Kluyveromyces lactis: one gene and its partners. The protein of the gene in region 5 purifies or fractionates together with the protein of the main gene of each other region. This does not show direct contact. Links are inferred from orthologs where the notes say so. Each region holds a gene or a part of one and is shown on either strand. Other genes may lie near its edges. The genes, in order: UTP4, PWP2, KRE33, UTP10, RRP7, ECM16 and KLLA0_F13222g.

Region 1 (4,493 bases), on a different chromosome or scaffold from region 5:
AGAAAACAGTTTCGACGGTAAAAGTTTCCCAGACTTCTTTTGGGAATTTGACTTTTTCTATAACATCGGGCCTCTGTTCAAATAGTGCATAGAGTGCTTGTTCTGCATATGTAGAGTTCACAACGTCAATGTTCTCCAATAAATCGATGATGTCACCGTCCAGGATGTTCAACCAGGTGAAGGCAACTAATTTTTTACAAGAATTTCTAACCGTTTCATCTCTATCTTCAAACCCCCAGGTCATCAGTTTCTCTAAAATATCAGAATCCACCTCATCGAACGTATGCTTCCCCAAACTCTTTAGTACTCTTGTAAACACCAATCTTCTATTGATGAAATTAACATCTCGTACCCGTTCCAAGATAACATTCTGGGTCGCTTTCGAACGTACAATATTCAACATTGCTGCCCTCCGAACTTCTGGACTTGGATCATTCCTAATGATATGCATTAAACTCTGTGTAGCTTCATCGAGTTGGAAATTTACTCCGGTTTCTGATTCATTAATCATCGATACGTTATCGTTTTGAAATTTTGTCAAACAAAATATCGCCTGTATCCTAACATGAGGTTCCTTGTCATACACCCTATGCTTCAAAACCCACATAATCAACTCGTACAATTCCTCATCAATTTCTCCCATATTATCCATAGTTGCGGCCAAAAGTTGCATTACTCTGTATCGTACGTTTTTATTTTTCGATTCCACTCCTCGAAGCAGATTCCTCACAAATCCATCAATAAATCCTCCGAAATGTACTTCCAAATTCCTCACATTTTGCTCATTACCATCTTCGGTTCTCATCTTGTTAAGATTCGACTCTATATTTGCGATGAACCCTGAAATCAACCGAACAATGCGATCCCCCACGATTTCCTGTTTCTTCAGCGGCAAGATTTTGACAGTCATTTTGATAAACCAATAATGAAACACATCTGATATCTCTTGCTCCACACATTTCAAATAAATCCTGTATAAGACAGCTACATGACGTCTGTGACCAGCATAACTCTTCTGCGCCACCTGGAAAACCTCCGCTATAGAATTCAGAACACGACGATTTGTAGGAGATTCTCCATCCTGAACATCCATATCAAACAATTGCACCCTTTTGGTCAATAATACCACGAGTATACACCAGGGAAAGGCTGCTATGAGGTTGCCGCCGATGTTTCTTCCACTTTCCTTTTCCTCTTTGTTTATTAGTTTGTTTATGTGAAGAGAAGATCCAATTGTAAACAAATCTCGTTTTCCCAATAGATCTAATATATCACGTGATATGATCATACTGTACGGTGTTGAAGCTAAACTAGTTTCTTTTTGAAAAATTTCAGCGTTAAGAGCACACAAGCTTAGAACAGAAGCTCATCTCATCGGATAACAAAGTCGTATATTTCTATCTAGTCAGTGAAGTTTTTTGATTGACATCAGCCTACAGTTTGTCAATCTTTTGTTTCATTCTAATACATTAGCTTTTGTTCTCTGATACAGGTTTAAGGTCCTCAATTTATAGAACACATTTGATCATGACTGATACTGGGAAGAAACAGGTAGTGCATCGATCCAGGTTTGTGCAGTTTACACCTGGTAATATAACGGCTCTTGCATTTTCACACAAAAGTACTGATAAAGCGGCACCGCAAGAGCTAAGACTGGCTATTGGTAGATCCAATGGTAATATTGAGATCTGGAATCCAAGAGATGATTGGGTACAAGAGTTCGTGATCTTGGGAGGTGAAGGAAGATCCATTGAAGGTCTTTCCTGGTGCAGTATTCGTGGAGAGCCTTTGAGACTATTTTCGATCGGTGGCTCCACTGTAGTTACAGAATGGGATTTGACAACCGGGTTGCCGTTAGTAAATTACGATTGTAACTCTGGTGTGATTTGGTCCATTGCAATGAGCAACGATATGAATAAGCTAGCGGTCGGATGTGATAACGGCAGTGTAGTACTTATTAACATCAGTGGTGGTAAAGGTGTTCTTGAGCATGAGAGCATACTTACAAGGCAAGAATCTCGTGTCTTATCGTTGACATGGACAGCCAATGATGAATCTTTGGTCGCTGGTTGTTCTGATGGAAGGATTAGAATATGGTATACTAAGGAGCAAGACGAAAACAAGGGAAGACTATTACATACTATGAAAGTGGATAAATCGAAGAAAGAATCTACACTCGTATGGTCTGTGTTGTATCTAGCTAAACAGAACCAAATTGTGTCTGGTGATTCTACTGGGTCGGTCAAATTCTGGGACTTAAACTACGCAACATTGACTCAATCTTTCAAGGTTCATGATGCCGATGTTCTATGTCTGGCTACTGATCTGGATAATTCACAATTGTTCACTAGTGGTGTTGATAGAAAGATTTTCCAATTCTCTTACATCGATACAGGAAAGAGCATGAAATGGATCAGTACTTCAAACAGATTATTCCATTCCAATGATGTTAGATCTATGTCCTCTTATCAATGTATGGGATCCGACTTCCTAGTGTCTGGTGGTATTGAAAAGTCTCTTGTCATGTGCTCAATGTCCTCTTTCGCTGAAGGAAATTATAGAAAGATGCCACTAGTTACCCCATTCCATAAGAGCATCCTGGTCAACAAACAACAAAGACTATTGGTGATGTGGCAGGATAATATCGTGAAGATATGGTATATTGGCGAAGACGTCAATGAGCCTAAGAACTACAAATTAGTTAGTAAATTGGTTTTGAAGGATGAACAAAACATCCAAACCTGTGCACTATCAACTGACGGACAAGTTTTATTAGTGGGAAGACTAAATACTACCAAAGTTTTCCATTTACAACCAACAGACAACAAATTGAAAGTAACAAAGTTGGACAATGAGTTTTTGTTGAGAACTGGTTGCAAATTTGCTAAGTTCATTGATGATTCTAGGTTAATAATGTGTTCACAATCTGATGAAATAGTTAGAATTGACCTTGAAGAGGATGACGACGAAAAAACCGTAACTATTGAGTTACCTGAAGCGAACTCAACGAAATCCAGCAATAAACTATCATATTTGAATGCAGTGAACCATTTAGATGCAAATGAACGTTACGCTGTTGCGTCTAGAGGTACCGGTGCTCTAGACTTAATAGATTTGACAACAAACAGTAGTAAAGCTTTAATTCGCATGAACAACTTCATCACTGCACTGTGCATCACACCAAGAGAGACTGTAGTAGTAGTGACATCAGAAAATAAAATATACGAGTTCAATTTGGAATCCGAGAAGGATCAACTACTCACTGACTGGTTCAAAGCCAATCATGAAAACCTCCCAAGGCAATTTACTTCCTTGAAAGAGAGATGCACAGGAATATTCTTAGATGAAATGGATGAGCATAAGGTATGGTTCTGGGGATCTAACTGGTTGGTTAACATCAACATGTCATTAGACTTGCCAGTTAGCAAAAGAAAGAAGCAAAAGAAGCGTGACCGTGACGGATTAACTATTTCCACTGACGGTCTACAGGCAGACGTCGATGAGGATGATGAAGACGATGAAGAACTCGAAGTTAAGGAAGATTATCTCTTAAAAACTCAGAGAGCGCAAGATGTCACCTCCAAGAAGAGATCTGATAAGGCGTTTTTCTATACCGATAAGTATAGACCTCTATTATTCGCTGGAAAGATCGCAAGTGACCAATTAATCATTGTGGAAAGACCAAACTTCTTGATCTCCCAACCTCCTGCATTTGAATTAGAAAAGTTAGTATTCTAATTTATAATTTCTGTACATTATTATAAACTCGATCTTCATCGCGAAATTGATTTTTAACATAGGGTCATCATTCCGCCGCATATCATCTGTGTAGTGTTCTTTCTGCTACCTTAATACCAATGAATGTCAAGAGCGAACTGCAAGCGAACATTTTATCAGACCAGACGTCGATTACAACATCAGGAATAGTGAATTTCTCACCCAAGAGTTGATTGACCTGTTTTGAGACATCATATGGTAAATTGGAGCGAATCATCAAGATAGTGGCAAGGATGTACACACCTGTCAACTCACACACAGCGAGGTTTTTGATGATCGAAGGGGGTTTCTTGGTATAGAATGCATCCTTATTGCTCGTAGGAAGCTCAGAGCCATTGGTACTCTGCATTGCAGATAACGCTAATAATTGTAGTTTGACAGGCAGTAATGTCAAAAGATAAGAGATTGTCGTAGTGACAGTAGAAAGAGAGCACACGAACAACGAGATGGACAATATCAAGGATATCTGTTTGATTAACGAATCCATGTCATTTTGATGTTCTAATCTTAGAACCAAGAAGTCAAACATATTGGCGAATGTGACAGCTAAGGGGTCCTTTTCAGTACTTTTATTGTCGAAGAATTCATAACTAAAATCTGTTGGAAACTTAAATGAGTGTACTATAATTTTAGGCACTTTTACAAGCCACACGTCAGTCAATTTATAAACACAGTAAACCAAAAAAATCACCTGAAACATCCGCTTTAAACTCCTA
Region 2 (4,580 bases), about 680 kb from region 5:
AGCATATAAATTCAACAACTAGAGAAGTAATATTGAAGGGGCATTTCACAGAAGCTGCTACCTCTACTTCAAGTAAGAAGAGGTCAAAATAGTTCACATTTATAGAATGGAGTATTGTTACCGGAATTTGATCTACTCTATTTATTATATAAGTCGGCGAAAATAATATACAAATACTAGTGTCTCATTTAGCATCCTGCTATGAAGTTTAATTTCTATTCCTTTTTGACTTCTTCTTATTCCTCTCAGTATTACCATTACCATTGGATTTCTTCTGTTTCTTAGTCTGTGTTTCGGCTTCCCATAGCTTTTCTAAATCTGTCGTCGACACATCGTCCTCGTCCTTTTCTTCAAAACTTCTTTTCTTATCATTAGAACTCCCATCTGAACCGGGCGTAGCTCGTCCGAGTTTATTTCCGAATATTCTTCTTCCTGCATTTACACTAGTCCGTAGTGTGCTTGTGCTGAGATCGTTTGTATCGATCTTCGAATCCTCATCATTCAGTGACTTGATAGCAGAGAAACCTACGTTCTGTACCACTTTTGATTTATTAGCAAGTTTTGTCAAGAGTTTTACATTGTCACCTATCCTCCATTCTGACGAGTCCACCAATTTCTTTATTGTCTCCTCGGTCTGTTTAACTTTGTCTGCTTGTTCCGCATGCTTCATGAACTTCATGTTCATCACTCTATTGGATAACTTGCCTGTGACTTCATGCCGTTTCTGTCCACTCATTGTTACCTTTTCGTCTTAGTGCCCCTATTACCGCTTTCAAATAGGCTTCACTATATCATTGACACTGGAATACATTTTTAATGTATCATTAAAGTCCTAATACAGCTCATCTCATCAATCTTCTGCTGAATGGTTTGATCTTACATATTAGAATTTCATGAAAAGTTTGTTTACGATTGTCCGGAAAATGAAAGATAGCAAGAAGATAGAAATATCCATGGTTAAACCCCGTCGGACGTATTTCAGAATGCAAGGATCTGCACTATAAAAGGAACATTGTACAAAAATAAATGAAATAAAAAGGTCATTGGTAAAAGTATGAAAACAGCTATAATGAAGTACTCATACTAAGTTTCAAGTGCTGACATAAACGACAATCCACCCAAAAACCGACATGTTTCTGTTCTCTCTTTCTTTACTTCCGTGCTAAAGCTGTATATGTTTTCCTTTCTTTTTCATTCAGCATACAGGATTTCGAAAAATTTAAGAGAAAAAATTGAGCGATGAGATGAGATGAGATGAGATGAGTTCAAGCAGGAAGTGCAGACGGATTATCAGTCACTTGTAAGGACTTTGCATTATAATCAGTTGTTCAATTTCAATTAGTTGGAAGGAATCAGGTCAGACGAGCTTTATAAGGGTTTAGTTACGGATGAAGTCTGATTTTAAGTTTTCCAATCTTTTGGGAACTGTTTATAGGCAAGGTAACGTCTTGTTCTCTCAAGATGGTTCCAAGTTACTTTCACCGGTAGGTAATAGGGTGTCGGTATTTGATTTGATCAACAATACTGCTTTTACCTTCGAATATGAACATAGGAAGAACGTTGCCGTTGTAGATATCAACAAGCAAGGTACGTTACTTCTTTCCATTGATGTCGATGGTCGTGGTATCTTGGCGAACTTTAAGACAAGAAACGTATTGCATCATTTCAACTTCAAAGAAAAGGTTTATGACTTGAAGTTTTCACCTGATGGCAAGTTATTTGCGCTGGCTTGTGGGAGATTCTTACAAATATGGAGGACACCCGAGACCACTGAGGATAGACAGTTTGCACCTTTTGTTCGTTATAGAATCCATGCCGGCCACTTTTCTGATATAACTTCCTTGACATGGTCAAAAGATTCAAGATTTATTATATCCACATCCAAGGACCTAACGGCAAGGATATGGTCAGTTAACTCGGAGGAGAAAAATCTTGCATCGACGACTTTTGCAGGACATAGAGATAACGTTATCGGAGCATATTTCAGCGATGACCAGGAAAAGATATACACGGTCAGTAAAGATGGTGCCTTATTCCAATGGGAATACACCAAAAAGCCTGGTGAAGGGGAAGACAATGATGAAGATGAGGAAGATGTAGATTTGTCAAAATATAGTTGGAGAATCACAAAGAAGAATTTTTTCCATGCAAACAGAGCAAAGGTGAAGTGTTCTGCATTCCATGCTGCATCCAACATATTAACAGTCGGTTTCTCAAACGGTGAATTCCGACTCTATGAACTGCCAGAATTCATCATGATTCAACAACTTTCAATGGGTCAAAATGCAGTTAATACGGTTGCCATCAACAGTTCTGGTGAATGGTTGGCTTTCGGTTCTAGTAAACTTGGGCAATTGATAGTGTACGAATGGCAATCAGAGTCATATATTCTAAAACAACAAGGTCATTTCGATACGTTAAATGGATTGTGTTACTCCCCAGATGGATCGAAGATTGTCACAGCAAGTCACGAAGGTAAGATCAAGATTTGGGATGTCGCGTCAGGTTTCTGTTTGGCAACTTTTGATGAACATGCAGGTGGTGTAAGTGCAGTAGAATTTGCTAAAAAAGGTCAAGTTTTGTTTTCAGCTTCTTTGGATGGTACCGTGAAAGCATGGGACTTGATCAGATATCGTAATTTCAGAACGTTCACTGCGACCGAAAGAATACAGTTCAACTCATTAGCAGTTGATCCAAGCGGAGAAGTTGTATGTGCCGGGTCGGAAGATAGCTTTGACATTTTTGTTTGGTCAGTACAGACTGGTCAGTTAGTGGATACACTATCTGGCCATGAAGGTCCTATCTCCTGTTTATCTTTCAGTAATGAGAATGGAGTTTTGGCATCCGCTTCATGGGATAAAACAATTAGAGTGTGGTCTCTCTTCGGTAGAAGTCAACAGGTAGAGCCTTTTGAAGTATTTTCTGATGTTTTATCTATTTCTATGAAACCGGATGGTCAACAAATAGCTGCAAGTACTCTAGCGGGGCAAATATTATTCTTTGATGTTGCTGAGGGCAAACAGGTGGGAAATATTGACGGCAAAAGGGATATAATCTCGGGTAGACATTTGGAAGATCGGTTCACATCAGAAAGTTCAGCAAGATCTAAATATTTTACCACCATTCATTACAGTTTCGATGGTCTCTCTTTGGTTGCAGCCGGTAACAATAATTCCATATGTCTTTATGACATTCCAAACGAAGTACTGCTAAGAAGATTTACCGTATCCAAAAACATGATGTTAAACGGCACCATGGAGTTTTTAAACTCAAGTAGAATGACAGAAGCAGGATCTTTGGATCTCATTGATCAAGATGCAGAAAATTCAGACTTGGAAGATCGCGTAGATAACAGCCTTCCTGGTTCGAATAGAGGAGGTGACTTATCGACAAGAAGAGTCAGACCGGCGATCAGAGTGACGTCTATAAGATTCTCTCCTACTGCTAATGCATTTGCCGCCGGTTCAACAGAAGGTTTACTTGTATATTCCGTTGATAATACTATTCTTTTTGATCCTTTCGATCTTGACGTCGATGTGACTCCACAGAATGTTATCCAAAGCTTAGATGACAAGGAATATCTCAATGCCATACTAATGGCTTTCCGTCTAAATGAGGGCTATCTAATCCACAGAGTATATGAGAATATTCCAATAAAGGATATTCCATTGATAGCTCACGAGTTGCCAGTGGTTTACGTATCAAGAATTCTAAAATTCATTGGTGAGTACGCTTTAGAATCACAGCATTTGGAGTTCAATCTCCTTTGGATCAAATCTGTACTTACAGCCCACGGCAAATACATTTCTACTAATAAGCATCAATTCTCTAGCGCATTGAGAGCTGTCCAAAGATTTATTGGTAGAATGGCAAATGACGTCGTCCAAACATACAAGAGAAATAAGTACACATTAGACTTTTTGACAAATACCGATGGTTCTTCAACTAACGCTGTTGACGAGGATATGAATCTACTGGGCAATGATTCAGACAACGAATCTGAAGACAAAGAGGATATCAACATGGACGACGATTTAGATGGAGGTGAATGGGTTGGATTCGAGGAAAAAACTATTAATCTTCCTGTTAATGACGAAGATTCTGACGACGAAATCCTACTATGAAATCGGGATACTTCACTAAAAAGAGAATATATATAATTCCTAGCATGATAGATATATAAAATCACATCTCATTAATTTCAATAAAACAATCATTACCACGAATTCACATGGAGATTTTCACTGTTGTCCGTTTTTAACTTACGTTATTGCCTCTTAATCTGATAAGTTACATGCATATTAAAAATTCAAAATTGTTAAAAACCTTATAATTCAGGAACAGTTTTGAGATGAGATGAGATCAGATGAGATGAAGAATATTCAAAATAGAGAAATTGCGGTACAAAGCGTGACATTGCGCTCTACTGTTCATAAAAGCGCTTTAAACATACATGTCTGAAATTAGGTGGTCCAAGCTTCACAGTTTAATCCACGATGCACCAAGTGACTCAGGAGAGTACATTACTATAATTGATTCACTTAATGACCTAATCAAAGAAACCACAATAGAAGATAGAA
Region 3 (4,448 bases), on a different chromosome or scaffold from region 5:
CCAGTTTCATCAATTTCATATTTATTTAGGTTCAAGGAATTGATCAATTCTTTCTGCTTTTCTCTCATTGCGCTGATAGCTTCGTTCCCTGCATTTTCAAGGTCATCTTCCATTTTGTCAATGACTTCGGCAGCATTGTAAGACAACACTTCTTCGCCATTCATTTCGGCAATTTCTTGGTCCTTGATTTGAGGTAAGGTTTTTTCAATAGACTCGCTTAAAACTTCCCTGAAGAAATTGGTGAATTTCCTGATAATCTTGGAGAACATGGCAATAGTTTGATTGGATGGTAAGTTCAACTCTTTCGTTATGTCATCAATGCCCTTGTGTTGCAAACCAATTGCAAGTAGTATACACGATTGTACGCTTGATAATGATACACCGTCACCCAGCTTTCCACTAAAGTATAGCAATGCCATCATTGGTAGAAGATCAACAATGACATGATAATCCAGTAAGTTGTTAGCATAGCTTTCTAACCTCTTTAGATCGAATGGAGAAAAGATGGAATCCAATTGGTCCCTTGTTAAAACCTTATTCTGGAACGATCTGCCCTCCGAGTCTTGGTCTAGTGTTTCACCCTTCTTAGCAGATTCAATGACATTTAACGCTTCGATGGCAGTGAATTTCTTAAAGTCGAACGATAATAAAGACAAGAATCTTTTATGGAAATCTTTGGCAAATTCTGCCAGCCATTTTGATTCACGACCTTCAAGAACTTTAACCATAACACATGTATGTTCACCAGTCAAATCATTCGCTGTTTGACGTAAGTAAACTGGGACAAATCCGTTGTTTTTCCAGAACTTATGTAAAGATTTTGTTAAACCATATGAAACACCTAAGTAATGCAAAAAGTGAGGGGTTTGTTCTGAGAGTTTCAGAAGCAATGGTGGCAACGTCTTTGCATCCCTTAATTTGATTTCATCTTTCAAGAGGTCTGCTTTCTTCAAATCCCTGTCATCGACTCTCTTGATTGTGTAGTCCTTTTGTACCGTATCTTCATTCAAATCGGTGAATTTACCTTCGAAATGATCTTTCAATAACTCCAGAGCCCTAGACCCATAACCCATAGAGGCGTATTCCGGATTGGTTGCAATCCTAACAACACGGGCACCACTCAAACCGGCAAATTCTTCATCTTGAAATTGCTGTGAGATTAGCCATGGAATTAAGTCACCACCAGCTCTTTGACCTCTTGCCAAAGAATTTCTGACAGAATCCTTCGAGATCTCACCTTCCAATGCGACCTGGATGACCACTAAGGGATCAGGTATTCTGCCGCCATCTTTTGGATCGATGGGAGGCAATAAAACGAATAGTTGATGAGCAGGTGCATCACTCATTAATTGCAAGTCGTTAGGAGAATTCTTGTAATGCGATGCGACATAAAGAGCCATCATCTTCTCCAGAAAATTTTCAGAAACAGGATGATAAGAAAATAGAGTATCTCTATTGACGATGAATAAATTACATTGAGATGGATGAGGTGTGCCTCTAGCAGCAAATCTTGGATTTTTGATTAGTTGAACGTCCAAACAAAGTAATTTATTCAACCATTTTTCAACTGGGTCACCAGGAGCGTATCTGATAGGTTCATCTAAGACAACTTCTCTCAAAGAACGGCCACTTGTTTGAACTTCTTGTTTCTTTGAATCTCTGGAAACAAGTGCTGTTTCGGAATCTTCACGGCCAGTACCGTTGGATTGAGTTCTTAGCTGTTGAATCAATTTCAAAGACAAAGATCTACCGGTACCTTCATAACCGTTAATAGTGGATGCCATAAACACTAAGTACGGACCCAAAAGCTTCTTTACAAGTGGTAGTGGAATTGCGGCAGCTTCATCAATGACAACAAGTTCTGCCTGTCCCAACACATGAGAATCATTTGGAATAATATATTGAATGGTCTGTCTATGTTCTCTCTTGATGTCTACTCTGACTATGGCTTTGTTGAAGCTTGGATTGGTGGACTGAATGATATCATAATCAATGTGCTCCTGATAGCCTAGAGCGTCAAATCCTTTGAAAATAAACTCAAATAAAGTCTTCAAATTCTCAGGGGAAGGAGATGTTACAAAGATATTGGAGTAACCATGGGATACAGCAGCAGCAATAGAAATACCTAGAGCAGCTGATTTACCTCTACCTCTACCTGCCGTCAATGCTACAGTTGAATTTAAAGTTTTCTCTGAAATGGCATCAATGAAGGTCAAGATTGCATGAGCTTGATTAACCGTTTTTGAAAGAGCAACTAATGATCCCGCAGGCTGAACATCTTCTAAAGACACTTTCAATTCTTTTAGTTCTTGATTTTTTGGTGAAATTTCTTCATCATCCTTTGGTGGAAGTGGTTTTACGTTTTTTCCTCCAGATATAGGTAAAACGTTTAACTCACTATCTACTACCAAACAGTTTTCATTCGAACCCAAGGACAAGATAAATCTTTCGTTGAATCTTGCCACGACATCGTCATGAGCTTCCGTTCTATAACGAGAGTGGATATCCATAGTCATAGTGTATAACTGTTTTAGAGAGGAAATGGACTTTAACATGATAACAATGATACCACCACCTTCAACGGTTTCGATGGTTCTTGCTAGCAAATTTGGAGTCAAAGCTTCAAAATCTTGTAGGATACACATACCATAAGTGTTACCCAAAATTTTTTCAGTTTCCTTATAATAACAGTATCGAATGTTTTGGTTAGAGATGAAAGTTTCAAAAGGATCTTGTTCATTTATCTCTCTGGTACCTCTCTTGATCTCTTTCTTAATCTTTGCTTCTCTCTTCTTCCTGTGTGAAGTGAAACCCAAGAGTTTCTTCTTATACGTCCATAACACGGATTTATTCATTTTGAGGTCAGCACTCATCATTAAATAGTGCAAGTTCGGTAGCTGGTTACGAGCATTGTCACCAACGATAACGAAAAATGATCTCTGATTTGTTTGAACACCATTTCTGATGAGAGCTGGGATACGAGAATCAATAGCTTTTTTACCCATCGTAATCTAACTTCTGGTTTAAAGTTTTAAGAACACACTCTTTAACAACAAACAATGACAGTTACGTTTCGCTGGAAGTTCGACCGTTGGGAAGAGTTAGTGTTTTTAATGATTTTTTTTGTAGTAACGAAGTACAGTAATCAGGTATTTTGGGGAGAAATAAACGTCTCGTAATACTCAGATAGCTTCTCAGCAAACCACCTCATCTCATTTGATCTCATCTCATCTCGAAATAAAATTCCTACCTAATACGATGAAATAGTAAAAAGACAATGAAAAAAAAAAAAAAAAATTAGGCAGAGAAAAGAAAAGATACTACTTACCCGGAATTATTTGATGAAAATATACTGTTACCCGCATGAATTTCATGCGCAGTGTAATTTCGGCGGCTAATTTCAAGAAATGACTACGTGTGCATAATGCACCATTATGTGATGTCGACTAATATTTTAAATTCATATTTAAACTTCAGTAGTAGTTTTCATGGGTATTAATTAAAGTTTTCTTCATGACTGACGAAAAGGGAAAAACTAACATTATATAAATACCAGTATTTTTGTGTCACAAGGAATAAGGGCAATATTCTTATGAAATAGATCCGATGAATAAGATAAGAGGTTAAGAACTGACATCAGAACGAGGTTCGATTATAAGGTTGTTTCTTTACCTGAACAAGCGCAGTTGTGGTTATCTCTTATACGGAACGTACGATTCCTAGGTTTTATTTTGGTTTTATTTTTTCGTGGTCATTCAGGTAAGCTCGGCGGTTATTCCATAGCAATAGCCAGGAGGAGAGTGAGAGCTAACTATATTTTCTTTTAATAGGAACAGAGTATAGTTTTATGTGATCAAACTTGCTATGATGGAGGATTTGGACCATCTGAACGATGAGAATATCAATATAGATGAGAACGAATTTTTGGAAACACTTGATAATGCTGACGGGGACGTGATCAAAACTTTTAGGAACGCTGACGGGTCATTAAGTAGTCATTTTGACAAGAGAAAAGTTCGTATTGCTCCAAGGTCAACATTGCAGTTCAAAATAGGCCCAGGCTTTACGCCAGTGGTGCCCAATCACAAGATATTGAACGATTTTGGACAGATTCAAGAAATCAAATTGGAGCCTCGGATTGATCGAGGGTTTGATTTCATAGATGACGATTGGATTGGTTATAAAAGAAATTATTTCACCGTGGTAACTTCATTTGACACACCGGGGACTGATCATATCGAGTTCATGAAACAAGCGTATCATTTAGATAACGGTGTGGAGATCAAATACTTCGCTACCAAATTAGCCGCCAAGTGTTTGGAAGATGATAAATTGATTAACCTAGTTCAACACACTGCAAAGCGAGATAAAGGCCCTCAATTTGCTCCTCCAATACATGTTATTGCACCTGCAAATTTGCCGAAGCACCAGATTATAAGAGATGCATC
Region 4 (4,717 bases), on a different chromosome or scaffold from region 5:
GTGATACAATTCACCATCGATATCTCCAATGTAAGCTTGGAAACCGTATCCACCAACGTAGTATAGATCTTCCACTTCAAATTCGTAGAATGCACCATCATGGACCAAACTTTCTTCACCAGGTAACCATGGGATGGCATCTGGGTGTCTTTTACCGTAACAGTCTCTCAAAGCCTTGGTCGTTTCAAGTTTCTTCAACGAACCGAAAAGATTGGCACGAGGAGAACTCATAGCGTGATGTCTGGGCCTTCTGTCCTCCACGGTAATAGAAAGCTTGCCGTTATCCTGATAGTTTCTCAAAGTGGAGGAAACGTTCATCAAGACCAAGATTGGGTTACCTGTGGAATTCACACCCTCACATAAATCAGAAGATACATAGTATTCTGGGAAAGTCACCGGAGTCTTTCCATCCTTCAAAGTAGAAACATGAACCAAGTCACCATACTTAACAACACCTCTAGCAACCTCAGCAGCGTATTCACGAGTTAGGTTGAACTCTTTCTCCTTATGAGAGGACTCTCTCAATTTCTTATCGCACCCTTCGCGTGCAGAAACGGAATCTAAAGCTAAAGCCAAAGATAACAACAAAGTACTACACTTCATGACTGAATTATTAATGGCTCAATAACTGATGTCGTTATTTGGATAAACAATCTCTCCGCAAGTTGTAACCCCTAAGCTCATCGCTATTCAATCTTGATAGAAGGTTCCTTAAACCTGTCGTTGCCTATATATAAAATAAACGGTACAAAATTTATAATGCGGTAAATTACATAATGCAAACTAAGGTAAGGAAGGTGCTCAGCCTCAAACTTCCGAAAAAGTAGTTTGTTTACCAGAAGAAAACATTTTTGCAGTTCACCCAAGCCTTTGCATTGAGATTGGTTCGGACGAACCATCCGCCTAGATCTCGGATCTAAGTTTAATCGCAGAGACATCGCCGCATAACCACATCGCTCCAGCCAGGTGTGTTTTTCTTTTGTTCTTATATGAGCCGGTCCTTTGCTGAAAAGCCAGTCTGAACGCAGGCCCAACGCACACAACTCACACACACCCTCAAATGGAAACGTTGAGGCATTGCTAAGTAGATAGCTGCTATGAGCCTTGTTTATGCCAAACATGCTTATACGGTTGGCTGAGATCCGAAATTCCTCAGAAACTAGCCATTACTTGTAGTGTGACCTTGCACGGCACATGATGTATTGAAACAACTCTTAAGTCTGTATGTACTTCAATAGATCCGAAAGCAGGTGGAAACTGACCAGTAGCTTGCATATTGAGCTACGGGGAGACTTGACCCAAGTTTATGGTATCACTCCATTTTCATACACGTGACCATAAATGAATTTCTTTTCACCGCAGCATGAACAAATCGAAAATTTTAAAGAGTGAAAGAAAAAAAAAGTAGCGATGAGATGAGATGAGATGAGGTTCAAATCGTTGGCTTTGCAATCATCTCCTGGCGATAGATTTTTGATCAGGTTCGACTTGCTAGTACTCCAGGCAACGGCAGAGACGATATAGAATGTCATCTTTACGTGATCAATTAGCGCAGGTAGCGCAGAATAACGCTACTGTTGCTCTTGATAGAAAGAGAAGACAAAAGTTACATTCTGCGTCTTTGGTTTACAATCCGAAGACTGCTGCTACTCAGGACTATGAGTATATATACGATACAGCGTTGGAATCGTTTCATACTTTGGTGAGTTTGGACTTGAGGTTCAAAGTTTTCACTAATTCCTTATTCAGTGCATCTTCCGTGACCATTGATAGAAACGTTCAAACAAAGGATCAGATTAGAGATTTGGATAACGCAGTTAATGCGTATTTGATGTTGATTTCGCCGAAATGGCATCTAACTCCAGCTTTGCATGCTACGGAATGGTTGATTCGTAGGTTCCAAATTCATATCCATAACGCCGAAATGCTTCTTCTATCTACTTTGAACCAATACCAAACGCCGGTGTTCAAAAGGATCCTCAATATCGTTAAGCTACCACCTTTGTTCAACCCATTTACCAATTTTGTCAGAAACGATAAGAATCCAACCGATTTGACGTTGATCAAATTGTTTAACGATATGGACTTCTTGAAGCTTTATTCAAATTATCTGTCCAAGATTATCAAGCAAAAAGTTACCTATACGAATCAACTGCTATTTACCACATGTTGTTTCATTAACGTGATCGCTTTCAATGCGAACGATGAAGATAAGTTAAATAAATTGGTCCCATTGATTTTGGAAATTTCCGCAAAACTTTTGGCATCGGATTCAAGCGATTGTCAAATGGCTGCTCATACTATGCTCGCGGTACTTGCCACCGCATTGCCTTTGAACAAAAGCATTATCATTGCGGCTACGGAAACTATCTTGGCCAATTTAAAGGAAGACGATGCTAGAAAAAAAGCTCTCGTCACAATCTCAAAACTTTTCCAAACCTTGAAAGGTGTAGGTAATGTGGATCAATTACCGGTCAAGATCTATAAACTCGTTGATAATTCTTTCCCATTCGAATATCTACTACAGTTCCTGAGTAATGAAAACAAATATTCCTCAGATAAATTTTTCACTGCATACATTAGGTCTGTCATCAGATATGATCATGATAAATTGAGTCAAATTGTCAAAATCTTAAGGAAGATTAAGTTGGAAAAATACGAAGTTAGATTTATCATCACTGATTTGATACATTTATCTGAAGTTCTAGAGGACAAGTCACAATTAATCGATGTTTTTGAATACTTCATTTCCATTAACGAGGGACTAGTTTTGAAATGTCTTCAAGCACTAAACCTGACCGGAGAAGTTTTCGAAATAAGATTGACAACTTCATTATTTTCCGTCAAGAACAGTGCGGAACAATCTGGTGAAGATATCATTAAAGTTCTAGATGATGCTAAAGCATCAACCGCGAATGGTTCAGCTGTTCCATTTAAAGATTTCATGACCAAAAACTCAGAGTTCATCTCCACTAAAGCGGAGTCTATGCTTCTTGTTAAAGATGAAAAGTTTGTCAAGCTGTTGTCATTATTTGTGGAAGCTGTAAGTAAAGGATATCAACCAGGTCTATTTTTATCCTCCTTCTTCACTACTTTAGAGAGCAGGATAACGTTTGTGCTCAGAATCATCGTATCCCCTGGTTCGCCTGTTGCTCTCAGATTGATTTCACTAACACAGTTAAGCAAATTCATCAATGGTATAGATGAGCAAACGGATCTTTTCTCTTTGGTACCTATTCTAGTGACAGCATTGATGGATATTTCTAGATCTGTTCGTTCCAACACGAAAAAGGTTCTACAACAGATAGCCAAGAGACCTTTCACAGCAAAGTATTTCCTATCTAACGTACTCTACGGAGAGAATTTAAAGGTGCCAATGTTAAGTCCGAAAGATAGCAAGTTTTGGTTGACCAACTTTTTAAGCGATTACATCGTTGAAAGTACAGATATTTCATCCCTCGTCATTCCATCCAAAAATGACATGGTATATATGCTGTTTTGGTGCAACCAGGCACTGCATCTTCCTCTCGCCTATTCGAAGACTATAATGTTAAAGCTCTTGACCGCTGTGCCACAATATGCTTTTACATATTCAAAGGTGTTCGAACAATTTATGGCCACATACATCACGGAAAGAAGTTCCTGGGAAACGAAGTGCATCAAAAATAAAACCAATTTCAAAGACTTCGAAACTGCGGTATGTGCCATTGTTGCACCAAAAGAAAAAAACAGTTTCGCGATAGATTTTTTGATTAACTGTTTGGAATCAGAATATGAACAACTTTCGAATATCATGGCAGACAGAATTTTATCTTTGTATCCAACATTGAAATTCCCAAACCAATTAAAAATTGTTCAGAGTATAATAGACTCCTCAGTTGACAAAGAACTATCATATGATGGTCTAGAAACCCTTCAAAGTCTTCCATTAACTGCAGATATTTTTGTCTCTGTGTTGAAAAGTAATACCATAAACAGCGAAGATCAAACAGATTTGACTAAACGTAGAAGAAGAAGATCGTCTACGGTTAACAAGTCCGCCCTACAGAAACAAGATATTTCTCAAATTGCCGAAGCCCACCTAAAGAAAATGACTATTATTCTGGAGACTTTGGATAAATTGAAGGTAAAGAGTAACGAAAATCTATTGAATGCCTTATTCAACCTTTTGTCCGACTTGGAAACTTTAGACCATGATGGTGGTTTGCCTGTACTTTACGCTCAGGAAACTCTGTCCTCTTGTCTTTTGAACACTATTTCTTCTCTAAAATCTAACAACGGAAGTATGAAATTACCCTCTATTAGAGCAGATATACTAGTCGCTGCCATTAGATCATCAACATCTCCTCAAATGCAAAATAAGCTCCTATTAGTTGTTGGAGCATTGGCTTCAGTATCTCCCGAAACTATATTACATTCTGTCATGCCTATTTTTACCTTCATGGGTGCACATACGATACGTCAGGACGATGAATTCTCCACTCTAGTTGTGGAAAGAACAATTAGTACTATTGTGCCTGCATTATTGAAATCGACGGAAGTTACGAACAAATCTGACGAAATAGAGTTCCTTCTAATGAGTTTCTCAACTGCATTTTCCCATGTTCCTAAGCACAGAAGGGTGAGTCTATACTCTACTTTGGTTAGAGAGCTCGGACCTTCAGATGTGATTGCTCCATTCTTGTTCTTAATAGCTCAACAATATTCGAACTGCTTG
Region 5 (3,385 bases):
ACTTCGATAGAGCTCCACACCATTCTTCACACACGCCATCATCACCCAAATACAGATCGAATTCCAATCCAGGGCTGCCACCACAATCTTCAAGCACCAGAAATGTTTCATCGTCACATATTGCCACCACACCCGGATCGGCGAATACTCCAGGCGGAGCTGGAGTATCATCAGCTCCAAGTTCAGAACCTATGAAACAATTACGTGCCTCAAAGGAGGATTCATGTGAAAAGGTTTTAAGAAATGCGATGAAGAGGCACAATTTGAATGAAACGGATTGGAGACAGCATGTTTTAGTGATATGCTATGGAGATCAAGAACGAGTTCTTGATCTCGATGAAAAACCAGTACAGATCTTCAAGTCTTTAAAACAACAAGGCCTGCATCCTGCAATTATGTTAAGACAAAAAGGTGACTTTGAGGAAGTGGGAGAAATGGCAGCAACACCGGGAGGTAGGCTATAATGTTTGTTATCTCCTCCTTCATCAACTGGAAAAAACACTTGGCAAGCAACCATAAACTTTCATTTTAGAGCTTTCATGAACGAATAATTGTATTGATAGATTAATTATCTCTTTCTATAAGAGTTACGTATGTTGTACAAAGACACATTCTCAACTATAGTAAATAACAAATAGAGCACCTTATCAGGAAAGTTTTCTCAAATAATTATGTGTACGGGTTGAACCTTCTTTTGGACTTCATCTCCTTTATCTTTTCTTGATCTTGCTTGAATTTGGCTAGCAACTCATTAATTTCCTGCTTCTTTCTTTCACGGACTTGGAATCTATAGAAGTCCTTCTTTGCCTTCTTGTCAACCATATTAGGCATCTTCTTAGGTTTCTCATGCTTTAATAATGGATTTCTGTTGAATATCTTTTTCCTTATGCTGTTTAATGATTTTGTATTCTTTCCTACTACTAATGTGAAACCATCTTCATCAACAATAGATGATTGTACTTCTTCTTGAGCTTGCTGTTCTCTTTGTTCGAAAAGAGCCATATGTTCATGTATATCCGTTTTCAAATATTTTAACGGTAATGGACGGTAGAATGCTGTGAATGTCTCGATTGATGGGGATTGAAATTCCCACAGTATCTGTTGTTGCTTCTTGCTAGAAGAGTATTTCCTTAGTGCTTCCCAACAGTTTTCTACGGACTGCTTATCCACAAACTGTAGTAATGCAGTATTTCTTGGCGTAAATCTTTTCTCACTAGGTTCATCAACACTCATTAAATGAGAAGTCAATGATGATAAGTCAACATCATGTAATCCGAACTCATCATGATAGAGTAGATCTTGCACATGCGAAACGGTTTCATTCTGATGACAGATCTCTTGGAAATTTTTCTTCAAGTTTTCGAGTTGTGTTAAAAGAGGTAGATTAACTAGGAATAAGCAGTGTTGTTCATTTTCCAGTTTTGATTGATGCTTTCTCACAAACATATAATGATATACTTTCGTCGGTTTCTGGTTTAAACTCTTTACTTGAGGTAGTAAAAACGGCACAATTAGGAAGCCATTTTGCATCTGTTCAAGAACCATTCTTTCGTATTGAAAGTGTGTGGAGAGGTATCTTGATCGGTGTATAACCCAAACAAATTCGTTGAAAGTTGTTGAAGCGAATTTCTTCAGCTCATCTCTTCTCATCACTTTACTAACTTTAAATCATAGTTTTCATTACACAACTACTAAATAGTGTCGAGAAGAAAATTTTCAATATAAGACGAAAGTCTTTTGAAGTCACGTGCAACAAAAAGTTGAGTATATAAACCCTTCTCCTCACCCACTACTTGAGAGAATTTGGAGGAAAGATATAATATTTGGGAAATGTCTGTCTTACAACCTTCCGAAGATCATTCACCACCTGATTTCAGCTGTTCAGCTTCTTTCATCAATTCGTACAACTGGGTAACTTGTTCTGGTGACATCTTTTCAAGCAGGTCAGTGGATAAAGTTCCTTCTTCCCATTCACCTCTTGTAATCATATGCAGATAATCCTGCCATGAGGCTAAGAATCCAACAATGTATAAGGGATTGTCAGTACTCTTATGCAACTTGAATTCATTCTTGACATATTGATCTCCCAACTCTCTCTGCATCGTTGGTAAGTTTCTGTGTTCTCTGAGGATTCTACGGTACAATTGTAACGGAGGCAAGAGCGGTTTGTGAGGTTTCCTCGAACCTAGCCGTCCCGCTCTAGTGGTCTGTTTGACAGCTTGCCTTAATAGATGGTTAACCTGCATGTTTAATGGGTTGCTGGTACGTTACGCGGAGTCACAGCTCTATATCATCAATTTATTCAACTCTAGCGATGATGATATGCGGTATCAAGCATTTTCATTAAGATTTCCATTGTTTTTGTATTTAGAAGTCACGTGAAGTAATATTTTGATACTTTGAATATGCAAATCTCTGGGGAAGTTTCATGCATTCAACGCGTGCTTCTGGAGTAAGCTTCTAAACAATTCGAATGGTTAAAGTTTATTCATTTCTATACAAACATAGCATTATTTTTCTTTTAGATATTAAATTCAAATCTTAATAAGTTAGTTCTATATTATTCAAAACCTGATGGTAGTAAGCCCAACTTTGACATCCTGATCTTGACTGCGTTTCTGTGAGCATCCAAGCCTTCGACTTTAGCAACACTCATCACAGCATGACCAATATGTTCTAAACCGACTGGGGTGACCACTTGAGAAGTGATAAACTTCTGGAAAGTGGCTGTGTTCACACCACTGTACTGCCTAGCATAACCATAGGTAGGTAATGTATGATTCGTACCACTAGAGTAATCACCACATGATTCTGGAGTATAAGCACCAACAAAAATGGAACCGGCGTGATCCACATCTTTGACATAGTCTTCGGCATTTGAAATTTGTAGAATCAAATGTTCAGGAGCATATTGGTTCGACATCTTGAAGGCTTCTTCGTAAGAATCACATAGAATGATTGAGCTGTGGGCGATACATTTACGAACAATATCAACTCTAGGTAGCTGCATAGCTTGTTCGTGAACAGCATTTTGTAAAGCTTCAATCTTCGAGTCAGATAACGAGACACCTACCAAAATAACTTGAGAGTCAATACCATGCTCAGCCTGTGATAGCAAATCCGATGCAACAAAGTCAACATCAGCTTCTTCATCACAAATGACCAAGACTTCACTTGGACCAGCTGGCATATCGATAGAACATAAAGCTTGAGTGTCGTTTTGAACATACATTTTTGCTGCGGTAACAAACTGGTTACCAGGGCCTAAGATTTTGTCCACTTTAGGAACGGATTCAGTACCGTAGGCCATTGCAGCAATAGCTTGTGCACCACCTGCTAATACGATCTTTGAAGCACCGACTTTACTTGCAACATAAACAACTTC
Region 6 (4,438 bases), on a different chromosome or scaffold from region 5:
TCATAAATCCATGGGATACCTTGTTGCGTCTTGCCCATGAACGGATGATATTGAGTCTTATTTCAGAATCACTTAAACAATCAAGATATTTGAGAGCTTGAATTATATCATTGATTCTAAAACCAGTGGCCTCGGAAAGATCCTTCAAAGTGACCTGGGCCACATCTTTCAAATTACCTTCAGTCAACTGCCAAACTATTGAGAAAGACCAAAATTTAAGATAGCCAATTAAACCGAAAGGAGATAGAGGAACTTCAGGACCCGAAATCAGACCCTGACATCTTGATAAAGTGTAGGAAAACTCAATCAAGAGAGTACCCAATCTTCTTCTTTGATAGGGCGGAAAGACAAGAATACATGCAAGGTTATTTTGGTGGTAGGAATATAAGTCTTTTGAAAAAAATGCCATCGGTACTGTAGAATTGTTCTCATACACAATATAGAATTCGAAATGCTTAACTTTGAAGTAGACAGACTTGTTATCAAGAAATAGCTTAGTAAATAGACATAAGCATTGGCAGAAAACTTCATGCTTAGAACCTTTTACCCTTCGTATAGTGTATTCGGGGCTTCTGTATTTTATTCTACCGGGTGGCTTATTCTTATATCGGCAAAAGCACTCATGTGCGATTAACTCTGCTTCATCATCAGTGTACTTGAAACAATATTCACATACGTATAGGGTATCAATCCAATACTGATCTTCAAACTTCTTTTCAGTAGGGCTTTGTTTTGCGGTGTGCTCATTGTTCGATTCCTTGAAGCCCAAGGTCCTCTTATTTCTTCCAAAATAAACATTACTCCCGTACCAAGTTGCAAATCTTTTATTCAAGCCAAATTGGACGTGCCTAATATTAGGCTTGTCAAGAATACCATATATTTCTTCATCCTCTGTTGAGCTGTTGTGCTTATCAGGTTTGGGAACCATTCATTAATGATTTGAAAAGAGGCAAAAAATGCGATTTATCACGTTTCCCAAATTTAATGAGTACTTGAAAACCCAATTAACGGTGGAATCAACTGCTCTTTGAACTTAAATGTACAAAAGATTGCCTATATCTTTGAATTATCAAAACGTTGAAAGCGACTTTCTTTTTTTTTTTTTCATCTTCCTTTATGGCAGAAAAAGCTTTAAAGCTCATCGCATCTCATCGCATCCAAGCTCACCTGCATCTATATATCAAAATCTCGTTGATAACAGGCTGGTAGTCTGAATGTTATAGGCCTCTGTGACATTAACAGTCAAGAGAAGTACCTCGCACGTTAAACGGTCAAAAAATTGAACAACAAACATGGGTACCTATAGGAAGCGCTGGAATGAGAAAGCACGCGCGGGTCAGATGTCTAAGTTGAAGGAGTTGAAGAGAGTAAGGAATAGGCAGTTCACCCGTGCACTTGAAAATTCTTCCGATGCTGATTCTGAAGAAGGTAATTCATCTGAAGATGAACATCATGAATCACCCGATCATCAGGAAGATACGAACGCTGCTGTATTGAAACCCATGACGGAGGAAGAGAAACAAGAGAAAAAGCGTAAATTGGAAGAGCTATTCACACCTAAGGAAACGAAGGTCTCTAGGACGAAGAAAAAAAGGTTAGAGAAGTTCATCGAGCATCAATTGAAAAGAGAGGAGAAAAAAGTTTTGATAGAAAAACTTCAGGACTATAAAATTGATACTAAGCTTTTGACAAGTTCTAAGATTTTGGGACAAGGAAGGCAAACTAAGAGGCAAGGGATTGAAGAAGCCCTCAAATTAGAAAGAAATGGACGTGGTGATGAAACTACCAGGGAAATTCTTTACGATGAAACTGAGGTAAGGGATTGGTATCAAGATCATCCAGAAACTAGGCCCAGTCAGGAAAGCACAGCTGAAAATTGCAATTCGGATAGTGATGAAACGGACCATACCAGTTCAGATCACCCTATTTCGGCAAATACTGGGGGATTTATTGATAATAGACCCAGTAAATTTGGTGGGTCAGGTTTTGGTTTTGGATTCGGTAATGCAAAGGTGGTGAATAAAAGGGCCTCGAAGAAAAGGTATAACTGGAAGCAAAAGGTAGAGCAAGAAGAACGTAGAAGGCGTAAACTGGATGATGATCAGGATTTTGAATCTGACGAAAGTGAATCAGAAGAACATTCATCCACTGCAGAAAGTGAACCTGATGAGAGTGAATCTAATAGTAATGCTGATAGTCACAGCGATGATGAGTCGAGTGAGTCTGACGGCGAGGAAAGATCGGATTCAGAAATAGCGCAGTGCAGAAACGTAAGTTCTTCAGTTGCCCAAGAATTTAAAGAGTGGGCAAATCAGGAAATTAAAAAGCTTGAAGGTAGAGATGTAGAAATGGTTATGCCTTCCTCCAACATCAAGGTCGATAGGACCGAGAGACCTGAAGACTTTGAAGATGGACTCAAAGCAGATGAATTTAATGTGAACGAAAATTCAACACGTAAGGCTTTTTATGTCAAGGTACGGAGATCTGATGCTGTTCAAGCTGTGAGAAGCGCACTACCTGTTTTCGCCGAGGAACATAGAATTATGGAAGCTATCCATCATAATGACGTTGTAATCATTTGTGGTGAAACTGGTTCAGGTAAAACGACACAGGTACCGCAGTTTCTTTACGAGGCAGGATATGGTAATTCGTCCTCAACTGACACGCCTGGGATGATTGGAATAACACAACCTAGAAGAGTGGCCGCTGTCTCTATGGCTGGACGTGTTACTAATGAGATGGGTGATCATGGCGAATATGTAGGATACCAAATTCGGTTCGATTCTTCTACCAAGGATAAAACAAGAATGAAATTTATGACTGATGGTGTTTTGCTAAGAGAGATGATGAACGATTTTAGACTTTCTAAATACTCTTCTATCATTATCGATGAAGCTCACGAGAGGAACATCAATACAGATATTTTGATTGGTATGTTAAGTCGTTGTGTCAGCTTACGTGCTAAGGAGCATGCAACTGATCCGGCTAAGTACAAAAAACTTAAACTAATTATCATGTCTGCCACCTTGAGAGTATCAGATTTTAGTGAAAACCCTACTTTATTCCCTGTTTCTCCACCTGTCTTAAAGGTCGACGCCAGGCAGTATCCAGTGGCTGTACATTTCAATCGTAGAACAGCTTATAACTATGCTGAAGAGGCTTTCAGGAAGACGTGTAAAATACATCAAAGGTTGCCTCCTGGTGCTATCTTGGTTTTTATGACAGGACAGCAAGAGATCACGCACATGGTAAAAAGGTTAAGAAAAGAGTTTCCTTTCCCCAAGAAACATCAAACTCTCATTCAAAATGACCACATACCTACAGTGAAAATAGATGCCAAAACTGCAGATGTAGAAGCTGAAGATATCGACTTCAGTGTCAGAGTTAGAGAGGAACAAGAATTTGACGATTGTTTACTCTCTGATGAGGAAGATATTGAGGACAAAGAAGAGGACGAAGAAGAAGGTTTTGAAGAAACACTTGAAGAAGGTCAGACGGATAGAGATCCACTATATGTTCTTCCTCTTTACTCGCTATTGCCCACCAAAGAGCAAATGAAGGTCTTCCTTGATCCCCCACCAAACTCCAGATTATGTGTTGTTGCTACTAATGTGGCAGAAACATCATTGACCATACCGGGAGTAAGATACGTCGTTGATTGTGGTAGATCAAAGGAAAGAAAGTTTGATGAAAATAATGGTGTTCAGAGTTTCGAAATTGACTGGATTAGCAAAGCTTCTGCTGGCCAAAGAAGTGGTAGAGCAGGGCGTACAGGGCCTGGTCATTGTTATCGTTTATACTCCTCTGCAGTTTTCGAAAGAGATTTTGAGCAGTTTTCTAAGCCTGAAATTTTAAGAATGCCTGTGGAGAGTATAGTTTTGCAAATGAAGAGCATGGCTGTTCATAATATTGTGAATTTTCCATTCCCTACCCCACCCGAAAGACCAGCTTTGATGAAGTCAATAAAGCTCTTACAACACCTAGGTGCACTCGACAGTAATGAAAGAATCACTGATGATGGTAAAGCAATGAGTTTGTTTCCGCTAAGTCCAAGATTTTCTAAAATGCTGCTTGTTGGTAATGAAAGCGACTGTTTGAAATATGTTGTTACCATTGTCAGTGCCCTTTCAGTAGGTGAGCCGTTTTTATCTGAACAAGAGCTTGGTATCATGGATACTGTGCCCAAGACACAAGATGAAGGACAATTAGATGACTATCCTGATCACGAAGCTGAGGAAAGAAAAAGGCTATTGCGCTCCAAGTATGTTAAAAGCAAAATTAGATTTAGTAAGCTTGATAAATTCAGTGATGTTTTCCGTCTTTTAAGTGCAGTATCTGCGTTGGATTTCATTCCAAAGGATCAGCACAGTTCTTTCATGGAAAAAAATTTCTTAAGGGCAAAAACCGTAGAGGAGATTATGAAGTTGAGAAAGCAGGT
Region 7 (4,685 bases), on a different chromosome or scaffold from region 5:
CGCTCACGCAATTTTTATCAAGGAGCTGAAGCGGTTCCGAATGAATCAAGGATAGGCACATTAAGTGTCGAAGGTCAAACGGAAGAGTTGTCCATCAGTTTAGATGTGAATATAGGCAAGGGATTCAAGATCAAACCCGATGGTAGGAGTTTCTTCTCGAGAGTTCCCATGAGGGGCAACCCAAACGTCGACAGGTGTATCAGACATGTATTTGCTCCGAATTGTACTGGATCAGGGCATATAGTGGTGAACTCGAAAAAGATAAAATTTCACTCAGTACCTATGGTCCTCATCACTGCATTGCAAGGCCTTAAACCTAACAGCGCTGCCAAATCGTGGAATTTCGCTGCTTTCATGTCACCTAGACGGACAATTTTATGTATGGAGTTTACAACGCCAAAAGAATACGGTGAACAAACAGTGACCATATCGTCGGACACAAACAAGATAACCTCATCACAGCGCATATATTGCGGTATACAGGATAAACATAAGCATGTGAAACATTTTGGGCTAACACTGGATCCCAAGACCGGAGTAGAGTATCCAAACATCGTAGAGATTCCGTTACCCAAAAAAGACGGTGAACTATGCCCCACGTTACTATTGGGGCCCTTAAATCTAATCAATGTGTACGATATATTACAAGAGATGCCCACGGTATTGAAAGGCATTGTGGAAAAGGTGGAAGGAATCAACCCATATCTATATCAGTTCTGTCAAAGAACCGAGGTAGATGACGAACGTGCAATATCACTTGTAGAAACAACATTTATAAGTCCATAGATCCAATTCAGATAAATTTAAAAAATGATTAACAGAGTGAATAGATGCGAGTCGTCATTAATCCCAGACATCTGATCTCCCATATCCAAGAGTCAAACGTCAAACGTCAAACGTCAAATTACGTATCTTGGCAATCTTCAAACACAGCAGAACATTACCCGGTACAACAAAAGAAATTTTTTTCCTCATTATCTTCTCAACCAATTTTCATAGGAAAACAGAGAAATAAAAAGTAAACTTAGAGCTCATCTCAAGAAATTGGGACTAGAATAAAATAGTGTGTAAAAAAAGCAGAGAATAACCTTGTTTCTGTCTTTGTCTCTGTCTTTGATCAAATCAGAGTTTCTCCTACCAACGCTGGCTGTAAAGATAGTGGAAAATTTTACGTATCTAGGTTAGAAGTGCAGTAAGATCAGGAATATTCAGGAATAGATTTCCCTGCTCTTCGGTTTTTTTTTTTTTGGTTTCATTCTACTAGTCGTTTATCTGCGAAGAGAAAGGATAAGGAATAAGGAATAAAGATTTGAATTGTGTGTGATCCCAGGACACTTACTGTTGATTAGCTAGTTATTAAAGATTGTGTTGAACTGGATAAAACGTTTTATAACCTAGAAATTTTTTTTTTCTTTTGGTTTTCTTTTTATTAAATTGTTGAGCCTATTGATTTGATCCAGGTGCATATAGAAAAGTCCACTAAAGAGTAGAATACCATTATTGCAGCTGCTAATTGCAACTGATAACACATATATATTATGTCAGGTAAAAGCCCGAGGAAGTTAACTAGTGGGAAGAAGCCTACGACTCTGAAAGCGTTACAGGATAAAATGGGAAATAAGAAGGATAAGCCTCCGCATTTAAGTTCTAGACCGAGACGTTTCAGTCTAATATATTCTAGTGATTCGTCGCTGAGTGATATACCACAGGATTCGAACAGCAGGGGCTCGAATTTGTCCAAGTTACCGTTATATAAGAATCCCAAAGCCGGAACTAAGCTAAAAGGTCGATCTTCGAATGCGATGGGTAAGAACGGAAAGCTGATATCAACGAATCAGGACTCAGCCATCACATCAGGTTCGGACAGTGCTACAGCGTCTTCAGACTACCAGTCTCTCTCGGAGGATGAAGGAGGTACAATGGCAGTAGATGATGACGATGATGATGATGATGATGATGATGATGATGATGACGATGACGATGATGACGATGATGATAGCGACAGTTCGAGTACTAGTTCAGACGATGACGTGGATTTTGTGAGACTTACTGCGGAACGTAAGAAAAACGCAATGAAACAGCTGAACGCTTTGAAGAGGGGCAAGACACCTGCAGAAACTGTCGTCAGTAACAGCAACAATAAAGGTAATAGTAAACAGGGTGGATTTCCTAATAGGGCTCAGCAGAATCGTGAAGCTTCGGATTCGAATGATGAGGACATTTCAAGCTCTGAACTATCAGATGCTCCTGAACTGTCATTCAATTTCAAAGGCGACGATGGGATCAAGTTCGGTGATGCTTCAGTAGCCTCCAAGAAGGCTGATGAAGATTTAGGTGAGGAAGTCAAGGATAAAGATGTGAAACAACCTTTAGATTCCATTAAACCAAATGTCGATAGATTGGCGGTACCGAAATTTTCAGATAGTGAGGATTCAGATTATAATATCGATCAAGAGGCATATTTCAAGACCATTGATGATGATAACGAAAATATTACCGGTATAGATAACGGCCTTGAGACTGGTGATGACGATATGGCTATTCTGGATGTTGAAGAACAGAATATGGTTAAACAGCTTGAACGTGATGATCATTCTTCTTTCGATGATTCGCAGGTGGAATCAAAGTATAGAGATGGGAAACCCAGAAATGACGACGATGATTACGAATACGACGAGGACGATGAAGATGATGCAATCATGAGTGATTTCGATATGCCCTTTTATGAAGATCCCAAGTTTTCCAATCTGTATTACTATGATGGCAGCGACCAACCCTTAACTTTAAGCACATCTTTACCGTTAGTGTTAAGCGAAGAGAAGCGTAAGAGGGAAGAGCGTAAGCAATTAAAACAGCGGGAAAGGCAGGAGAGGTTGAAAAGAAGAATGACTTCCAAGAAGTCTAAACGTGAACATTCTGCTACTCCAGATCTTGCAGAAGATGAGTACGTATTTGGGTTATTTTTCCAAAGCGATGACGAGAAACCTAAAGTTACCAATGACCTTGAATCTCCTTTGCGTAGGCTCAGTACCGTGGCAGTATCTGATAAAGAGCTTTCATCTGGAGATGAAGAGTACGAAGATATTCTATTAGATATCGCCCACCTCCCTACAGATGAAGAGGATGAAAATGGCTTGGAGCTAGACGAAGTCGAAAACTCAGATGGTGAAGATGACTTTGAAGAAGATGATGACGATATGAGTGTCACCAACGTTTTCATTGATATTGATGATCTCGATCCAGATGGCTTCTACTTTCATTACGATTCGTTATCAGATGAGGAAGCTGGAGAAGCTAAGAGCTATCCTGACACTCCAGATGACCATGTGGAAGGTGTCATCTTTGTAGATGACGAATCCACTGATGAAGATGACACTTTACCACCTCCAAATACAAGACGCAAAATTGGGACTAAGGCAAAAGAAGTCGTTAGTGCCAACGTTGTTGGTTTGAAGCCTCCGAAACTTGGAACTTGGCAGACAGATAACAAGCCCTTTAGTATCATTGATGGCCTTTCCACTAAATCTTTGTATCCTGCTATTCCGCCAGTTCAACAAATTTTAGATCCAAGAATTGAAGTCGAAGACGTTTCATCACATAATGGTATCGGATCAGGAGGCGAAAAAGAGGAACTAACCCTTAACGAATTGTTGAATATGAGTGAGCTTGAAGATGAAAACAATGAAGATGGCGCTGACTCGAATTCTAAGAATAAAGAGATTGCCACCTGGTATCACAAACCATCTGTTCCATTATCTGCTTTCAGAAATAAAGGCATCAACTTCGAACATCAAGAAGACGAATACATGCTTCCTGTGTTTTCAGCACGCAAGTTCCCAATTGGTTACGTTGGTAGTGAAAGGACTAGAAGGAAGATCGATAAGATGAAGGAATACCAAAGAAAGAAAGATGAAAAGCGACGGAAGATAAAGAAGAAAAAGAAGCTCTTGAAAATCAGAAGGGAAAGGCAAAGAATTGAAAAGCAAAAATTGCTCACTGCTCCTGAACAAGAAACTGAAACTGAACCCAACGCAGATTCTCACAACAACATTCAAACTCCCTCTAGCGTGAATTTGGCTAGTCCAAGTTCAAGTGTTTTCACCGATGCAGATGCTGGAAACACACCTAATGATTTCAACGGTCTGGTTTTACCAACGAGGAAGAATTCTGTGAAGGGATTAGGAATGGATGAAATTGATCAACTGCTGAAATCTGATGATGATTTAATACTTTCTCATCATGGAGATGAAGATGGAGATATTGATCTATTAGGCAGTGACGATGCAGATCTCCTGGTTTCTCTGACTGCCCCGATTGAAGAAATTGATTTTAACCATGAACAAATGAGCCATGTTGCCGCATGGAGAAGAAGAAACAGTATCGCCGAAGCTGCTGCTGAACATATGAGAGTAACCAAGAATGGACTTTTCAGTGAGACGGCGCTAGCTGATCTGGAGGAAATCATCGGAGGATCAACAGAACTCCCAAGTTAACCCTCATTTTCACTTCCTTTGATTTTATTTTTTATTCCTTGGTTTTACCACTGCTGCTGATGCGAAACTACTCGACTAAAGCATAACCATAAACTACAATTATCTGTATTCTACCTACTACACTTTCTTGGATATAATCTACATAGATATCATTCTGTGAAGCTCTATTCAGCTTCACCATTTTTTCCGTAA

The links.
Region 1: the proteins of RRP7 (region 5) and UTP4 purify together in Saccharomyces cerevisiae (affinity purification with mass spectrometry; 3 studies listed by BioGRID). This does not show direct contact. The link is inferred for Kluyveromyces lactis from reciprocal best matches to the Saccharomyces cerevisiae genes RRP7 and UTP4.
Region 2: the proteins of RRP7 (region 5) and PWP2 purify together in Saccharomyces cerevisiae (affinity purification with mass spectrometry; 4 studies listed by BioGRID, with this or other methods). This does not show direct contact. The link is inferred for Kluyveromyces lactis from reciprocal best matches to the Saccharomyces cerevisiae genes RRP7 and PWP2.
Region 3: the proteins of RRP7 (region 5) and KRE33 purify together in Saccharomyces cerevisiae (affinity purification with mass spectrometry; 3 studies listed by BioGRID). This does not show direct contact. The link is inferred for Kluyveromyces lactis from reciprocal best matches to the Saccharomyces cerevisiae genes RRP7 and KRE33.
Region 4: the proteins of RRP7 (region 5) and UTP10 purify together in Saccharomyces cerevisiae (affinity purification with mass spectrometry; 3 studies listed by BioGRID). This does not show direct contact. The link is inferred for Kluyveromyces lactis from reciprocal best matches to the Saccharomyces cerevisiae genes RRP7 and UTP10.
Region 6: the proteins of RRP7 (region 5) and ECM16 purify together in Saccharomyces cerevisiae (affinity purification with mass spectrometry; 3 studies listed by BioGRID). This does not show direct contact. The link is inferred for Kluyveromyces lactis from reciprocal best matches to the Saccharomyces cerevisiae genes RRP7 and ECM16.
Region 7: the proteins of RRP7 (region 5) and KLLA0_F13222g purify together in Saccharomyces cerevisiae (affinity purification with mass spectrometry; 3 studies listed by BioGRID, with this or other methods). This does not show direct contact. The link is inferred for Kluyveromyces lactis from reciprocal best matches to the Saccharomyces cerevisiae genes RRP7 and IFH1.

The regions. Positions count from the first base shown.
Region 1 is NC_006040.1:1,131,312-1,135,804, reverse strand, and holds UTP4 (small subunit rRNA maturation protein UTP4), read left to right. Parts: upstream 1-1,527; coding exon 1,528-3,738; downstream 3,739-4,493. Other genes in the region: condensin subunit YCG1, read right to left, coding at 1-1,288; KLLA0_D13200g (uncharacterized protein), read right to left, coding at 3,821-4,493. UniProt on the Saccharomyces cerevisiae protein: Involved in nucleolar processing of pre-18S ribosomal RNA. Required for optimal pre-ribosomal RNA transcription by RNA polymerase I together with a subset of U3 proteins required for transcription (t-UTPs).
Region 2 is NC_006039.1:783,148-787,727, forward strand, and holds PWP2 (snoRNA-binding rRNA-processing protein PWP2), read left to right. Parts: upstream 1-1,388; coding exon 1,389-4,124; downstream 4,125-4,580. Other genes in the region: YIH1 (Yih1p), read left to right, coding at 1-92; MPP6 (Mpp6p), read right to left, coding at 209-736; CTR86 (Ctr86p), read left to right, coding at 4,454-4,580. UniProt on the Saccharomyces cerevisiae protein: Required for bud-site selection and cell separation. Also involved in nucleolar processing of pre-18S ribosomal RNA.
Region 3 is NC_006042.1:2,271,872-2,276,319, forward strand, and holds the start of KRE33 (ribosome biosynthesis protein KRE33), read right to left. Parts: upstream 3,006-4,448; coding exon 1-3,005. Other genes in the region: transcription factor NDT80, read left to right, coding at 3,865-4,448. UniProt on the Saccharomyces cerevisiae protein: RNA cytidine acetyltransferase with specificity toward both 18S rRNA and tRNAs. Catalyzes the formation of N(4)-acetylcytidine (ac4C) at positions 1280 and 1773 in 18S rRNA.
Region 4 is NC_006042.1:1,973,678-1,978,394, forward strand, and holds the start of UTP10 (snoRNA-binding rRNA-processing protein UTP10), read left to right. Parts: upstream 1-1,525; coding exon 1,526-4,717. Other genes in the region: KLLA0_F21164g (uncharacterized protein), read right to left, coding at 1-603. UniProt on the Saccharomyces cerevisiae protein: Involved in nucleolar processing of pre-18S ribosomal RNA. Required for optimal pre-ribosomal RNA transcription by RNA polymerase I together with a subset of U3 proteins required for transcription (t-UTPs). Involved in ribosome biosynthesis.
Region 5 is NC_006039.1:106,236-109,620, forward strand, and holds RRP7 (Rrp7p), read right to left. Parts: upstream 1,651-3,385; coding exon 670-1,650; downstream 1-669. Other genes in the region: STE50 (Ste50p), read left to right, coding at 1-464; SDH7 (Sdh7p), read right to left, coding at 1,857-2,246; HIS4 (trifunctional histidinol dehydrogenase/phosphoribosyl-AMP cyclohydrolase/phosphoribosyl-ATP diphosphatase), read right to left, coding at 2,561-3,385. UniProt on the Saccharomyces cerevisiae protein: Plays an important role in the synthesis of 18S rRNA but is not required for the 5.8S and 25S pathway. Is necessary for the cleavage at site A2. Is required for efficient association of RPS27 with the pre-ribosomal particle.
Region 6 is NC_006042.1:1,596,751-1,601,188, reverse strand, and holds the start of ECM16 (ATP-dependent RNA helicase ECM16), read left to right. Parts: upstream 1-1,292; coding exon 1,293-4,438. Other genes in the region: SAS2 (histone acetyltransferase), read right to left, coding at 1-928. UniProt on the Saccharomyces cerevisiae protein: Probable ATP-binding RNA helicase. Required for 18S rRNA synthesis. May play a role in restructuring of the pre-rRNA.
Region 7 is NC_006042.1:1,219,141-1,223,825, forward strand, and holds KLLA0_F13222g (uncharacterized protein), read left to right. Parts: upstream 1-1,538; coding exon 1,539-4,493; downstream 4,494-4,685. Other genes in the region: KLLA0_F13200g (survival factor 1 family protein), read left to right, coding at 1-786. UniProt on the Saccharomyces cerevisiae protein: Transcriptional coactivator that together with FHL1 regulates the expression of rRNA and ribosomal protein genes. Its activity is negatively regulated by environmental stress.